2 linked regions of the Oryzias latipes genome follow. The protein of the gene in region 1 purifies or fractionates together with the protein of each later gene. This does not show direct contact. Links are inferred from orthologs where the notes say so. Each region holds a gene or a part of one and is shown on either strand. Other genes may lie near its edges.

Region 1 (4,366 bases):
CAGGGAATGAGCGAACGCTTAAATAGGACTCAGCAGCCTTCTTGTCAATGTACTGCAGACTGTCGCCATCAGCATACATGATGAGTCGGGTGAAATCGTTGAATAGAACACCAACACTGTTGTCACAAAGCTGGTATCCTGCGAAAGCAATTTACAGCACACCCTTAATTCTCCATTAAAAGCAAGACAATAAAAGGCAAACCTGTCCTAAGATTTAGAATTTACCTAATCCATATTTGTCAGAGTAGTCGACCCATTTACTGATCCAAAAGATGGGAATACACGCAGGATCCTCTGCTTCCTCTGAAATCAAAGACAAGGGGTTTTCTGTAAGAAGGACTGACTAAAACTGCAGAAAGTTTAGGTAGTTCCTGCAGGCGGCTGCTCTCACCTTGCCGAATGACCGCCTTCTCTGAAGGCTTGGCAGAGATGATGCTGTTGAGCTGCTGCAGCATGTCCTTCAGGTAACATTCTTCTGGCTCCGCCTCTCTGCACACAAAATTCCCATTTATCATTTTTGATCAAACTACGACGCATGTTTTAGACCTTAGTGTGATGTCTCACAGTGGAGCAGGCTCGTCTTTCATGTCCACCTTCTCTGTGCCGGCTGAGAAAAAAAATATATAAAAAAAACCTCCATCAATATCACTGTTGATTAACTGCAGACTTTCATTATCAGTGCACCAGTTTTGGGCAATTGTTGGGTTTGTTACCTTTGTTGTTTATGGCAGTCAGGGGGCGCCTCTGGCTGAGCTCTGCAGCCATGGAGGGGGCAATGGAGAACCGCGGGGGCACAGTGAGACAAGTGGTGGGCAGCCGCAGGGGGACGTATCCCGATGTGAAGAACTCATCCGTCTGCAGGTCAGTGATGGTGGGCCTCTGGGCAGGATCGGCATGCAGCATCCTCTTGATGAGAGCCGAGGCTGACGGGTTGATTTGCTGCAGCATTCAAGTGAAGTGACGGTAAACTTAAGATTTTCTTTCACCAACTATTACGTACATTTAGGGATTAACGTCAGCTCTTCTCACCCAGGGGATGGTGTAATTGTTCTTCTTGATCCGGTTGTATGTGTCTTTCAGGCATGAGGTTTCAAACGGAGGCTTGCCGACTAACAAAGTGTACCTATGAGAGGATACAGGAAGGAAGTTGAGTATCCAGAATCCTGTGGAATGACACTCTTCCCCACTCCACTGTGGGTTTACACACTTACAATATGCACCCAAGTGACCAGACATCCACTTCATAGCTGTGGCCTTTCTTGCACAGCACTTCCGGAGCGATATAGTTGGGCGTTCCACACAAGGTCTTCTTCCGTTCACCATCAAACTCAATCTTTGTGGCCAAACCAAAGTCACCTAGCAAAAAAGGAAAGAAAGAAATGATCAGCGTTTAATCTGAGTAAAGGATATTAAGAAGCCAAATATGGGTGTTAACAAATTGGAGCTGGAAGTTCTCAACAAGGAAGTTATGGGAGCATATCAAGAACATGGGTGTGCCCGTTTCTTTGTCACTACACCGACAGGTTTCCTGCTCTCCATACCTATCTTGACTTCCATGTCGTCGTTGAGGAAGATGTTCCCCAGTTTCAGGTCTCTGTGGATGACCTTGTTGCTGTGCAGATAATGGACCCCTTTCAGCAGCTGGGTCATGTAGTAGCGAGCCTCCGGCTCCGTGACCGCCTTCCTGCGCTTGTGCAACTCCAACAGGGACTTGAAAAAGGACAACAGTTCTGGTGAGCGGCTGAACTCAGTGGAGGAAAATGGAGGCTGGGAGAGCATGAACAAGCTGGATGAAGTGAAGTGGCACCTCAAGAAGTGTTAAAAACAACACGTGGAACAACACAAAGGGGAAAAAGAATTTAGATATCTCTATAGTTTTAAATTACAAAAAGTTACTGGTTTAGGATAAGTAACAGTGATTTAAAGCAGTGATCAGGGGATTTGAGTCTCCCAGCACTATGCCAAAGGAGGGGGGGGGGGGGGGGTAACGGAAGAGGCCACATTGTTAACCGTTGGCCTTCATGTATTTTCATTTAGAGTTCCCAAAATCCTCACCCTTCTCCTGCAGATCTCCAGGACCACATAGACAAAGTCGTCGTCCTCAAAGAAGCCGTGGAAGCCCACGATGTTAGCATGATTGAGGCTCTTGTGAATGGAGATTTCCGAGCTCATCTTCTCCCTTTGGTGCTGCTTCAGGATCAACGACTTGGGCACTATTTTGCCAGCGAAAACCTGCTTGGTCTCCATGTCTGTAATTTCGAAGCATTTGGCGAAGCCCCCCTTGCCGAGGAACCTGCCCTTGGAGTATCTCCTCAGGGTGCGGGGATCCACCAAAACCTCTGGGATTTCTTTCAGAGGAGCCGATTTTGGGTCGACGTGTCCGGACGGCTGCGCCGGCTTTGCGATAGCAGCACTCATGGTGTACTTTAAAAGTGCTCTTTCCGCGTTAATAAAACTCCAAAGAAGTCGAAACGCAAAAGTTATTAAACAAGGGCTAAAGTGTTGTTTAACCCTCCAACTCAACCGACGTTAGTTTAGCCTTCGAAGCTAACTTTTTCTACGCCTCAATTTACAGCAAATACTAACAAACGATCTAAACCGCAAACGTTGACTAACATTTAAAGGCCGACAGGTCCCAAGATTAAATAAATTAATTAAAAAAAAAACCGGAGGCAGAATTCTTGCGCAGACTTCCCCGGCAGCGGTTGCCTTGTCCCGTTCTGCCTTTTCGATAACAAGTGTCTCGTACAAATTTAAAATGCTGGCTCGGTCGTTTTGGCGATCGTTGATTGGTCTGCTAGATTTGAATTCCACAGCGTCACAGCAAAGCATCTTGGGAACATGTGTACAAAAATAGCCAATCAGGAGTAGAGTAGAAGGCCTCCAACAATCTGATTGGCTGAAAGGCTGTTTTTGTTTCCTCGAGAAAGACGGATGGGAAATGTAGTCGGGAAAAGGATTTAATTTCGAAAGTGTTTTGTTATTAGCGTTATCCGAATTATGGCCACTCCTGATCCAATATCGATCATTTAGGTTCATGTTATTAGTTGAACACTAATATTACATGAATGCAGAGGATCATATGAAGTTTATTTAATCTTTGTTAGACTATGAGTTTTTTATGAATTTGTCATTTTCACTTTTTGGATGGATTTTTATTGACAGACATTGTTGGTTCAGGTTATACACTTTTATTTTTATTGATTGCCATGCTGACTGTGTACACTCATCTTGCGCCACACTTCCTTGAAAAACTTTCAACTTTTCATAAATTGAGAAACATGTGAGTGTTTGCTTTCTTCTCATGTTTTCTTTTAATTTCTACTCTGTTAGAACAACCATTAAATACTGTTTCAAACCAAATTCTCAGACAGTGCTATCGGCATTCTAAGTGTATCATTGTAATCATTGAAAAGCCACAAATGCCCTCTGTAGATACCAAAAGGAGTTCATTCAGTAATTGCAGTGGTTGAATAATTTTCAGGTCTAGAAATGTCCACTATGGGGACAAGTTTTTATTGCCGGTAGTGAGGAGGATATTTTTCACTCTAGATTGGTTGAAATTCAAAAAGGATTTTGAGCAAAAAAGCCTCAGGGTTTAACTTGAAAGATTATTTATGCTGGAAAGCATAAAATGGTGAGAAGCAGTAAAATATAGTGTAACAAAAGCAATATGAGAAAGTAAACCTGCAGTAATGGTTTAATCTGTCTTGCCACACTAAAAAAAAGTCACATCGTTTTTGTGATACCAAGATTATTGTTTATTTGACAAGATGTTAACATGATGAAATTAAGGACTTTCACTTTCTGATCATGATGGTTAACCTGTTGATGCCTATACTTAAATAATAACTCCAGAATACATGAAGATTCCCAATTTTTTACATTTGGATATTGACTGTACTGTTTGGTTTCAACATGCCAAGCTAAAAAAAAAAAAAAAAGTTGTTTTTCCCCTAAGGTTTTCATTTCTTTTTTTCTTTATCCACCACTGCATGGTAGTTGGGGTAACCAGTTAATAGATTGCTGGTTGCTGGCTGATCAACATTTTGTGGTAAATTAATTTGGGTTAAGAGTGTAAAGGGGGAATGGTTATGGGACACTAACTCAAAACACAGCTTGTTGAGGGGATGCTTACCTGAAGACTGCGGGGACTTGCTTGCACCGGTGCATCCTAAGGCTACAAACACACCGTTTATAAACCATCAGAGGTTGTAAAGGAATACAGTTCAGTAGTTTGGAGGTAGCATTACTTATTCAAGAGCCACATGTTTTTATTTGAGCTCTGCCTGTGGGCTAGAATAATATTTCAAACTTCTCCAAAGCTTCTAACTAAAGTTTTCCTTTTTTTATCTTTTGGACAAAA
Region 2 (4,357 bases), on another chromosome or scaffold:
GGGGAAGCCCAGACACGGACTCTAGGTTTGGTTCTGGAGACGCGCGGAGGCTCCTTGTGATGTTGGAGCTGGTGTGGGGAGCAGCTACGAATTGGAGAGCAACCTTCAACAAAGGGACTCTCGTTGCAGGAGCTGACATCTACATCCAGGGGAATAGACAGTGGGGTCACGTTGCATCGCTGTTTTCTTTCAACTAACACGAGAACAGGCACAGATTAAGGATAAAAAGCCAAATATAATCCAGCAATATTTACATTTTTAAAACAGTGAAATGCTCTACCTGAGCCTACAGGAGTGTGTGCAAAATCAGCAAGAATTGGAGAGATTGTTGGGGAACCATGGCCAGCAGGAGATGATCTATCAGGAAACAGAGGGCTGCCAATACTGCCAAGGCTACAGTCCCTGATGCAGCCATGTTGGATAGGACTAGAGGAGAACTGGCCCTTCGTTTAAGAGAAGTAAAGCTAATTTTAGTCATGCATGTCTTCATCTATTTTTATGCAAACATTTAAAGGGGCAAAAGATACTCATTTTTTACAGCTTTACATGATTTCTATCCTATGACCCATTTAAAAAAAAAATACCTGGCAACCCAATTCTCTATTTTTTGACACACTGAAACTTACAGTAGAAGGAGTCGGGGCAGAGATCCCGCATGACAAAGGAGAAGAAAAAACTGGATTTTCTCCCTCAGAGCACATGGGTCTCGGTCCGCTTCCTTGTCTTTTGGTAGGAAGCCTCTCAGCTCGGACATGAGCTCTTTCTGGACTCGGTGGAGTGGAGCTGTCAGAGCTGCTGTAGCTAAACTGTCCATCGAGAAAGAGTTTTCTCCTCAAGGAGGAGGAACTGAGGCTCTCCTGCACTGCATCACAAGCCTCATCGTTACGGTAATATTCTCCTAAGAATAAGAAAGAAATGTGACTTAAAACTTTCATTTCAATGATTCTCCTCTTACATTTAACAGAAGCTTACCAAGTAGTTTTTCCAAATCAAATGTTGAAGGCAGCGAAAGGACCGTCTGGCAACCAACTGTAAGATAAAAAGATGCAGTTTATGGAAAACTAAAGCAAATGAACAAATTTAACAAATTCTAATAATTTTAGATCCCTTCTTTTTTTCTTTTTTTTTAATACGAACATGCACCAACCTGAGATTTTTTCTGTCTGTTCTGCAGCTGTTTCAGACAAGGGACCTAAAACAACAAGACAAAACAACAAATGGTTAAATACACATTAATATTACTAAAAACAAGGAATACTTGAAAGTTATTATTCCAAACAGTTGGATATCTTACTTTTCTTATAAATATGAGGGGCTCTGCGAGTTTCTGCTGCTGCCCAAGGAGAAGGCACTATGGCTCCTTTGGTAAAAAACTTTATTCAGCAAGACAAAAGACATGAGTAAATCAGTAAATTGTCAACAAGACTTCTACTGAATTATTGCAATTTTAAAAAAAGATTGCTTTTAAAGTCCAAAACCTGCTCAATAGCACTCTGAAATTTTTCTTCAACATCAGAATCGGTCCTGAAATATAATAAGAAAATAATTTAGGTATTTAGATCTGCACAATAAATCACAGAGCTATCGCCATCTTGTTATCAGCCTGTGCAGTATGCGTATCGCAGAAGACAGTGCAATAAATCATACCATAAATGTTTACACACATGCCTAAACAATCTTATGGCAGCTTGAAGTGTTTCAAATTCAAAATAGCCTGTTAAGCTTTTGACTAATTGGATGGAGCCCTTTTATGTTAGATGCTTCCCTCCTATCAGGTAAAAGATCATTTGGAGTATAAATCAAGTTATACTGACTTTTATTTTGATAAAACTGTTGCAGTGAAATGAAAAAGATGTATTAGTTGTTTCATGTTTTACTTTGGGTTCATGTATCGTAAGTCACATCGTCATCGCAATATTGATCACCAATATCGCGAGTTTTCCTGATATCGTGCAGCCTTAGTTTAATTACAGTTTGTAATTTGCCAAATATTTAAGACTGGAATGCAATCAAAGATTTGCCACTGTTAACAAAATAAGGGATTCAGGACACACCTTGTCTGGCTGAGGTAAAAAGACTGTCGCTGGATTTCTTCTGGGTCTATGTGCACTGGGAGAAGGCTGGCCATTTCATCAATAGACCAGTTAAATCTTGGAGGGGTCTACAGAAAAGACAAGATATGAGACAAAACTACACAGCAGCCTTAAGACACATTTCTCGAAGTAAAAATTGCAAAACACACTTGCAAAAACCGGTTTCAGCTTGACTGTGTAAATAATATTCAATTTTAGTATAAGTTGTGGGTAAGAAATTAAACTTACAGCTTTACAGGACTTGGATTTAAAAACAGATGGGCTTGGAACCAAGGGTTCCCGGAGATGGTGGTAATCATTTGGACTCTCAAAGGGGTTTCTTATGGAAGGCCTGCCCGGAGTCTCTGGAGTTATCTCTAGCTCGATACGGTCCCCCATCCTGGCTGAAAATTCAAATTCAAGTTATAAAGAAAATGTATTACAAAGTACACTTAAAAACATTTTAAGTGTAAACCAACATGTATTTTTTTTACTCGATCCGTTAGCTAGCTGTGATGTTAGCTTGCAAGGAAAACAACAGTTTTAAAATCAGTTCAAAAACAACATAACACCCATAATTTAATCCTTACCGACACTGACTATGTAATTGTTTTCCGCCCCTGGTACTTACATGTTTTATCTGACTTGGACTGTAAAGCGACTAAATCAAGAGAAAGTCTTCCCCTGTCGACTCCACAGTGGTATTAGGAAGAGAACAATTCAAACGTTTATTTCAATTTCGTCCACGGAGCCAGCCAACCAATAGAATCGTTACAGAAAGTTGTTGAGGACCAATAGCGACATCTGTGTCGTCATTTCCGCTGCTAGTTTGCGGACGGTGCATCAACTTTGATGCAAGCTAAATGCTAATGCGGCATTTTATCGTATGTCAGAATCCGAGTAAAGCAAATATGAGATATTTTAAACGCGGCCGTGTTGTTTAATTGAATTGTTTTCATCAACGTTTTATCAGGGTAACATATAAGCTGTTGTGTATCTGCTAGCAAGTTCTAGCTAGCTAACTAGCGTCATCGTAATGGCAAGTGCAGCTAATGCTAACCTGAACGCAGTCCGGGAGACTATGGACGGTAAATATTTTAACTTGTGTGCACATATTAGCATATTTAATAAGAATTTCAAGATTATCATTAAATCATTCTATTAATTTTAAACTTTTCGCTTTTCCTGAACAGTTCTGCTAGAGATTTCAAGACTGCTAAACACTGGTTTGGATATGGAGTCCTTGTCCATTTGTGTGAGGCTGTGTGAGCAAGGCATCAACCCTGAAGCTCTGTCTGCTGTCATCAAGGAGCTCCGAAAAGCTTCAGAGTCTCTGAAGGTAGAAGAGAAACTACCACATCTCATTACAGACCAAAACTTATGTCCGTGTTTTTTTCTTCTTTTAGTGTTATCGCGAGTTCTATAACCATTTGGAAACCATTTGTTAAGCTTGAGTGTCATTGTTTTTTTATTTTTACATTAAAGTCTGTAATGATAAACATCATATCAGTGTAAATAGTAGTGATGGGTTGATGATGCTTTAATGAGTTTGACACATCTCCCAAACTGTTGACTCTGACATAGTGTTGCTCCCTCTCTAGTGACCCCTGCAGTAATTCTGAAATCATTGCAGGTAAATAAAATAAGAACGGCATTTTTGGTGTTTTTAACATGTTCTTGTAGCACTTTTTTATGATTGATTACATATAATAGAAAATTAACATTAAAACAGCATTTTTGATTATTTCTTAATTAAGAAACCGGAGAAGTCAAATAATGCAGTTTGAAAAACTTGCAGTTGTGACATAGAAACAACAGCCATTAGGCCAAACTCCCTGCTCTGCTCTAGTCTGATGCCTCCACTGGCAGATGAATAAATTTATGTACATTTTTGTTTTCCTCGTCTGAGCTGGAATCTGGATCAAAGCTGTTCAGGTGGATGGCTCAAATATTGTTCACTATATTTGTTGCACCGCTAGTGTGAGCTTGGGGTTGTCAGGGACTCAGTTAGCGGGAGAGTGTAAACAAGGTGTCGCTCGTCCCATCATTAGAAAATAGAGCTGTGGTATTAAAGTATTTCAGTATTTTGACTTTTATTTAACACAAGTTGTTTGATTGATGCCCACATACTAGTGAATCCTTAAACTTGATTTTTTTTTCTCTTTAGAATATTTTCTACTATTTAAATTTATTAAATATTTTATCATCCTTGCCACATCAACCCAACGATACTCTAAGCTTTAAAGTGTAAACTCAAATATTTTAATTTATAATATCTTGCTTTT

The links. The genes of interacting proteins can lie anywhere in the genome.
Region 2: the proteins of plk1 (region 1) and bora purify together in Homo sapiens (affinity purification with mass spectrometry; 12 studies listed by BioGRID and IntAct, counting the BioPlex papers as one, with this or other methods). This does not show direct contact. The link is inferred for Oryzias latipes from reciprocal best matches to the Homo sapiens genes PLK1 and BORA.

What each region holds. Positions count from the first base shown.
Region 1 is NC_019859.2:22,726,348-22,730,713, forward strand, and holds the start of plk1 (serine/threonine-protein kinase PLK1), read right to left. Parts: upstream 2,821-4,366; 5' UTR 2,419-2,820; coding exon 2,056-2,418; intron 1,711-2,055; coding exon 1,542-1,710; intron 1,357-1,541; coding exon 1,212-1,356; intron 1,124-1,211; coding exon 1,030-1,123; intron 940-1,029; coding exon 714-939; intron 608-713; coding exon 565-607; intron 490-564; coding exon 392-489; intron 304-391; coding exon 226-303; intron 139-225; coding exon 1-138. UniProt on the Homo sapiens protein: Serine/threonine-protein kinase that performs several important functions throughout M phase of the cell cycle, including the regulation of centrosome maturation and spindle assembly, the removal of cohesins from chromosome arms, the inactivation of anaphase-promoting complex/cyclosome (APC/C) inhibitors, and the regulation of mitotic exit and cytokinesis.
Region 2 is NC_019873.2:18,607,645-18,612,001, reverse strand, and holds the start of bora (protein aurora borealis), read right to left. Parts: upstream 2,825-4,357; 5' UTR 2,704-2,824; intron 2,477-2,703; 5' UTR 2,472-2,476; coding exon 2,322-2,471; intron 2,162-2,321; coding exon 2,055-2,161; intron 1,525-2,054; coding exon 1,479-1,524; intron 1,374-1,478; coding exon 1,295-1,373; intron 1,193-1,294; coding exon 1,148-1,192; intron 1,030-1,147; coding exon 973-1,029; intron 899-972; coding exon 627-898; intron 444-626; coding exon 281-443; intron 194-280; coding exon 1-193. Other genes in the region: mzt1 (mitotic-spindle organizing protein 1), read left to right, coding at 3,109-3,160, 3,266-3,411. UniProt on the Homo sapiens protein: Required for the activation of AURKA at the onset of mitosis.